Schizosaccharomyces pombe: one gene and its partner. The protein of the gene in region 1 interacts with the protein of each later gene in a pairwise test. Each region holds a gene or a part of one and is shown on either strand. Other genes may lie near its edges.

The links.
Region 2: the proteins of dbl1 (region 1) and nce103 interact in a two-hybrid assay, tested with the Schizosaccharomyces pombe proteins (one large-scale study listed by BioGRID).

What each region holds. Positions count from the first base shown.
Region 1 is NC_003421.2:831,319-835,065, forward strand, and holds dbl1 (protein Dbl1), read right to left. Parts: upstream 2,062-3,747; 5' UTR 1,683-2,061; coding exon 1,029-1,682; 3' UTR 748-1,028; downstream 1-747. Other genes in the region: mitochondrial LYR family protein Lyr2, read left to right, coding at 1-66, 131-724; aah3 (GPI-anchored glycosyl hydrolase family 13 protein), read right to left, coding at 2,648-3,747.
Region 2 is NC_003423.3:3,640,370-3,644,171, reverse strand, and holds nce103 (putative carbonic anhydrase), read left to right. Parts: upstream 1-1,987; 5' UTR 1,988-2,221; coding exon 2,222-2,956; 3' UTR 2,957-3,230; downstream 3,231-3,802. Other genes in the region: histone lysine methyltransferase Set6, read left to right, coding at 1-354; rpp201 (ribosomal protein P2), read right to left, coding at 588-611, 675-983; protein mug45, read right to left, coding at 3,231-3,802.

The DNA of each region.
Region 1 (3,747 bases):
ACACGGCATTATCAAAATGTAGGGAACGCCTACAAAGCCGAAGCACTTTTAAAAGATGCTAAGAAAGTAAGGATATAGTAAATTATAGTGAGAACTGTAGAAAATGAAATAACTAAAGCTGATGACTTAGCAATGCGAGACTCTCAAGTCAGCATTAAACGGTAAATTGCCTGAGGTAAATATAGAATCTCATATGCTATCTAAGTATCGAAAATACTTAAATGAAGGTGGAAAACAAGGAGATGTTGGGATAACAAAACCGCATACGAAAACAAAAAAGCTAAAGTCCAATTCAATATTTAATTATGTGCGCAATGGTGAAGTGCTATATCATTTAGTAAGTACTACTGGAGGAGATACGTTTTTACGCCCCAAATTCTGGCCTCAAAGTCAGAGAATAAGTGGAATGTTAAAAAAAAGGATAACTATGAAAGAGAATAAACATCGTCTCATCCAAAGCATGAGCTGTATGCTACGCCATGCTAAACTTGAAGATGAATTTATGAAGGCATACATTTCAGAGGAGGATGTTGGGTATGCTGATGAGATTCATAAATGCATACAAATGGTTTTAAGTGATCTCGATTCTATTTACAAACGAGAATCAAAAAATTGGCATATCGTTTCGCAATTTTACAACATGCTTGAGTTAGAAGCAGCTAGACAAAAACTCGAAAATAGATATCTAAACTTTTGGAAGGTATCTCGACGCTCTTCACCTTGATGTATTTAATTCTTTAATTAGCTTCTGAGAGAAGTTTACGACGAATATCATAATTATTATTATTTTGTATATATCAAACATAAAAAAATTTTAGAAACATACACTCGCCTTGGAGACGTAATAAAGTTGTAAAGCAAGCAATTCGTGCATTGCAGTTCTTAATCGCGGCAGTACATATACAGTAGTATTCACATTGTGCTTGCGAAACTCTTTTCCCAAAATAACAAGCTTAAAAATTTACATGGTATACTTTGCGGAAATACAACAATCATTAGCCCAACCGTCAAACTACGAATAGCGTTTTCTATTTGCTTATATGATCTGATGTTAGAGGAGAACCTTGCTGTTTTTGAGAACTGAGCCATTGGTCTTCTATGTCCTGAAGCATTTGTAAATCTTGGTCATCAAACGAAAATTCTTGGCCCTCAATGTCATCTTCCAACGTAGCAAGTGATGAAGTATCATCCTTCTTTTCCGCTAAACCATTGTTTTCCAGGGATTCCTGAGTAGATATTTCGACATCATTATCATCCTCATTATCTGTCTTCTCTTCTTGTTCTTCCCTTACCCTTCTTTCTAGTGATTTTTTGCGATCTATAGTTTGTCGTATCACGCTCACCAAACTAGAAACCCGTGACAGCTTATTTGCAGTCTCTGTTTCATCTTCATAGGAGCTTTCCAATGTCCTTGACCTCTTAAGTCCTCCTATATTATTTAATCTCTCTTTAAAATTACTTGACGAAGGAACAGGCAATGAAGATGTCCGTTGAATAGTGGATTGTGCTTTTGGTTGTAAGCGATCCCATAGCTTATGAAAAGGATCATGCTTCCGAGTAGCGCTACTAGTACTGGATTTACAAAAAAGCCTTGAGACATCATCAGGAGACATGGCTTTCGCTTTTAAAGGAGAAACTTTCCATGAGACGCATGGTTGTTTATTTTTGGAAGAATCTTGCATCCTCAAACGTGCAATGAGTTAAATGGTAAAAATATTTTTCAGTTCACTTTTAAAGAATTAAACGAGTGATCCAGTTACTCTAAGATGATTACAACGTTTAGTATCAGAATCTCAGGTAAGGTCTCCAGACAAAACGAATACTGCCTGTTCGACAAAGATCGCTCCACACAGTATCTGCTAGCTTACAATTATTCTCCTTCTCCTGTTAATTTAGCAGTTGAAACACAACATGTAAACAATAGCAAATTACGCGGTCGTTTAGGTTAAAGACATCTGAAGGTCCCAAAAGTTCGAACTTTTTAGTAACTACTGGTTACCTTTATCCAAGAACAAAACTTTCTTTAATTACAAATGGAATATGAATACGGGTCCGTGGAATGGGGAATTTTAGAAATGTTCAATGATTGTAACGTAAACCAATGTTAAGTAACACCTGCAATTATGTGACTTTTCCATCAAAAAACTATTAAATTTAAATGAAAGCGTTAGAAAAGAATATAAGTTTAAGTACAAATTTTATGAGCTTATGGTGATATTGGATGACCTACACCTTAATATACTAACAACATGTCTACTCGATAAATTTTTTTATTTTTACTTACCAATGTAAGCAAATGTTTTTGATGTAAAGCGAAACTACGCATAAGAACTGTACTTTTTCATTTGGTTGTTAAAAAATGCAATATTACTTTTCATTGACTATTCCACTAGGCAGATAATTTTTTTCATTTCTGCTCCAAGACAATAGATATGCCAGTTTAAAAGATATGTATGATAAAAAAAGGTTTACAAAGACAAATAATAACAAGTGAGAGATTAAAGCATCAGAACAAGAATAAGCTGTAGGCATAAATTAACTCATTCTCATTATATGGTTATTAGATTCAACCCAAAAAATGACCTTCCTTGACGAAAAAAACGCAAATTGTTAAAATTTTAAAAATTAACGCGGTTATTTGGGCATTCTAGAAGAATAAAACAAAGAGCATTGCGGTAACACCCAAGCCAAAAACTAAAGTCTTGAAAGAAAGGATAAGTCTAGATGATGAAGAGATCGTAAATATACTACCAGTACCAGTAAATGATCTGGCAGAATAAGAAGGAGAGTAATAAGAGGTATAGACAGTGGTTGTGGCAGTTGCCGATGTAGATGGCATGACTGTACGATTGACAGTTGGTAATGTAAAACCAGACATCTTCGAATGTGGATACATAATCAAGGGATATCCGTTGGTCATACTGGCAGTCAAGGTTTTATCGGCACCAACGGTTAAAGTTCTGTGACCGAAGACATCAGAGACTACTTCATTGGCAGTGTAATTCGTCTCAACTTCATAAATTGTAAGGTTGTTGGTAACTCCCATATTATTGAACATGACGAGAACATCATTTTTTTGTCCAACATAGTGATCAACAGCAGATTCGATCGATTGATATGTGGAAGTGACCCAATCCGGATCCTGAGTAATGACAAACTTTCTAAATGCAACCATCGTTTTAATAACGGTATAGTACGGGTTTGATTGATCGTAATCAGTAAGCCAAAGTGCAGGACGATTAGCAGGATCCTCACCACCATTGAATCCCTGTTCTTGTCCGTAGAAAATTGAGGGTATGCCGTCCCAAATCAACACAAATGACAAAGCCCCCATAATCTGTGACTGGTCACTTGTGTAATAAGGAAATCTGTACAAATCGTGATTTTCGATAAAAGTCAACATTAAAGTACTATCATATTTTGAACAGTTTGAAGCCATTACCTCCTGGTAAGTGGGAATAAGAGTGAATCCAGCACCAGTAGCAGTAAAAGAGAAGTTTATGTACAACTGCAAAAAGTAATTGGTAACTCCAGGAAGGACACTCATGTAACTACACATAGTATCAGGATCATAAGAGAAAACTTCACCAACGCTGTAAACACCCGTAGCATCAACGAAATCAGGAAAGAATGTGTAGTTCATCATTTTCACAGCATCAATACGCAGTCCATCAAAATCGTATTTAGAAATAAGACTTTTGAAATGATCACTCAAATAGGAAGAAACGTCTGAACTTTCGACATCCA
Region 2 (3,802 bases), on another chromosome or scaffold:
TTGGAGATGGAGTTCCCGTCCAGCTCTCAACCTCAGCAGACTGTACCTACCAATAACTCGTTATTTTTATTGAAGAATATACCATCATTTGGAGGGTTACACCACTGTATTTTGGGCCGCTATTCTATTTCCCTTGATGATTTTGTTTTGTGGCTTTTAGATAGGGCTCAAAGGCTACAGCAAGCAGTTAGAATAAGTCATCCTTCGACCACATTTTGTTCAAATGTGGAAAATGACATTAAAGAAATATTTGAGGTTTGTAAAGACTATTGCATGCTTCATGTTCAAAACAATTTGAAAGCATTTGAAGAAAAATTATGGGCCGCTTGTAAAGACTTCCTAGTAACATACTAAATAAAATTTATTATTCTCGAAACAACGACTTGCTTTACAAGTGTAAAGTCTCTTATATTCAAATCAACAACACGGGGCACCAGTGGTACATTAACATTTAAAGTAAGCTAAAATTACATTTATCAAACGAAAAATACTATTACGAATGGAGCACTAAAAAAAAATTGGTAAAATAAAACCAACACGGCGATTTATTTTTATGAAAGCGTAATGAAAACAAGGGATCATTTGGTTTAGTCGAAAAGACCGAAACCCATCTAAAATTGTTAGTAAGATGCTTTTGAGAAACAAAGAATGCTTCTTATCTAAAATTAACTTACGTCTTCATCAGATTCCTCCTCTTCCTTGGCTTCCTCCTTAGCAGCCTCCTCAGCAGCAGGGGCAGCACCGCCAGCAGCGGCGGCAGGAGCAGCAGAAGCAGCACCACCAGTGGGGACAGTAGCAAGCTTCTCGTTACCAGCAGCGATGAGCTCGTCGATATCCTTACCGTTAAGCTCGTTGATCAAAGTTTCAATGCGCTCAGATTCAGCTTCAATACCGACAGTAGACAAAACAGACTCGATATCAGAAGCGGAAGGGGAGTCCTTTCCACCAACGGTCAAGAGTAAATAAGCTGCAAGGTACTTCATTTTGACGAGGAGTGCAGTGCGTGTTGATGGCAGAAAGTATTAAGCATTCACAACACTAAGGGACTCGAAACTTTTGTGACTGGTTTTCGAGTTAGGTTAGGGTATGTGTTTGAGTGGAATGCTGCGATGATTTCTAAGGTTTGTTATATTCGTTTAGTTGACGAGCACGATATTTACAAGCTTTTTCTACAAGTTCAAATCAACCTAAATAGTTGTTAGTTAAGGGCGTGCTAATTATTTTTATAATAGTAAGAAAACCGTATGCACAAAGAGGCATAATTAATGTCATACACGTATTTGAGTTTATCAATGGGAATTGAAACAAACATATTAATGTTTGGTAAACTGACGGTTTAAATATAACTTCAAGTGCTTAACTTACTGGCCGAGACTTGAAATAGCTGTATAAGCTATTGAATAAATTTTCTCAATTGTCTTTACTTTCATTTCATTCCTCCTATTATGGGTAACAATGGGCAATTGTTTTTTTTTCGTCTTTTTTTATAGTAATGTCAGCGGTGCCCATGTTAACAAATGTTTCAATCTACAAAACCTAATTATCGCTTAATTTAATTTTAGATTAACTTAATCGAAAACACGTATAACGATAAGACGATATACTCGTAATTGATAAATGACGGATTCTTCTCCAATAATTTTGTGTTTAGAAAAAAAAAATTTCGCACGGTTGCGAAATCTTTATGGCTGTCAACATTTTATTCATATTTGGGACAATTTGCAATTTTAAGCCAATCGTATCCGGTTTTTTGTTAACTGCGAAGCCGTCAAAACTATCCGTAGGTAGTCCCTTGCAAAGATCTAGCAAAATAAATTACATTATATAATAGATAAACCAATAAACCTTACCTACTCGACGGACGGGACGGCTTGTTATCGGAGTATTAGCTATACATCAAAGTTCATCATCATAGCTTTGCTCACATCACAAACGTTTCCATTTTTGTCGTGTGGTATAAAAACGTATCATGCTCCCACCATTCGGTGCTTTGACAACTACAAAAATTCCGCTTCCAAAAACCATACTCCAGTCTACCTTTAACCAAATAAAAAGTAGCAGCTACTCGATAATAGCGGCTCCGCGGTTAACATCGAGATTCATTCGTTTTCCTTGTAATTATAATAGTTGTTTACAATCCATATCTTTTTCATCGCTTGGAAGAAAAAGATTGTTTTTTTCGTCTAGTCAATTGTTAGAGAAAAGTGATAAAAAAAAGAAAATGCCTGATAGATTGAAACGTCGTATTGAGGAAATCGATCATCAAGACGAGATAATCGACAGAGAAGCTTCAACCGCTTCTCCCGTTTCTGGCGCTGGTAAAATTGACCAGAATGGGGAAATCAAAGATTTGCTTGAACGCAATCTGACTTGGTCACAACAAACTAGCAGAAAGTACCCATCCTTTTTTACAGCCACCAAAGATATTCAAACTCCTCAAGTTCTTTGGATCGGATGTTCAGATTCTCGTGTTCCTGAGACCACCATTCTGAATTTACTTCCAGGTGAAGTCTTCGTTCATCGAAACATTGCCAATGTCGTTCCTCGTTCTGACATTAATGCTTTAGCTGTTATGGAGTACTCCGTGACCGTATTAAAGGTTAAGCACATCATTGTCTGTGGCCATTATGGATGCGGTGGTGTCGCTGCTGCTCTTGGTCCTAATTTAAACAATTTGTTGGATCATTGGTTGCGACACATCCGTGATGTTATCGAAGACAATCGTGAAGAACTTGACGCCATTGAAGATCCCCAACTTCGTCGCCTTAAACTTGCCGAACTTAATACTCGTGCTCAAGCAATTTCTGTAACCCGGGTTGGCTTTGTTCGTGAAGCAATGGAAAAGCGTGGCTTACAAGTTCATGGCTGGATTTACGATCTTTCCAATGGTCAAATCAAAAAATTGGATATCACGGACGCCATCAAAAAGGCCAAATACGGTACTTATGATAGTTAATTTCACTGGAAGTTTTCTCAACCTCGACTTGGTTACGATTGATTTATGTGAGTTTTTCTGTTTGTTTTTTTTGTTTAGATTTTTACTATCTCCGATTGGTTCAAGTATTTAAAAGTTTTGTAATAAGTTTATACCTTTTGATGAAGTATGGCATATCGAACGAACTGCGCATTTGTCGCCGTGTCTTGAATTAGTTATATAATGATTGACAAGACGGACGATACCTTAGATGAAAATCGATATAGCAATAGTAAATATAGTTTCATTGACTGTGTTAATTCGTGTAAATAAAAACAACTTGTAATATTAGATAAATTCCTATCAAAAGAGTCAACAAACACATGGCCGTTGTGCTTACATTAACATTCAAGATAACCTCAATTAGCTCAAGCAGTAGCTTTATTATATTTTTCGCGGGTCCATATATACTATAACTATTTTGAAGGATTATAAATTCGCTTTTGAAATCAAAATAAGTGTAGTTTTGTCTAGGTTCAAAATCGAAGCCTCCATTTTGACTAAAATAAAATGAACCATCGAATAATAATGTACTGTTTGTGTATACAATGGTTTGAAATTCAACCAGTGTACGTGAATCGGTGGGCGGTAAAAATTGGGGAAGATAAACACGATATTTAAATAAATTATAGCGTTCGGGTTTAATTAATATTCCTATCTCCAATAAAAGTATTTGTTTTCTCGAAGTAGTTCGAAAAAAATATGTGCCATCCTTGCAAAAAAAATTAGCTTCACAATTATCCACATAAGCCCAGGAAATCCACATATTTTTTGATAGTTTTACCCCATATACATCCCTTTCCCTGGCGTCATTAAATATATAGGAAG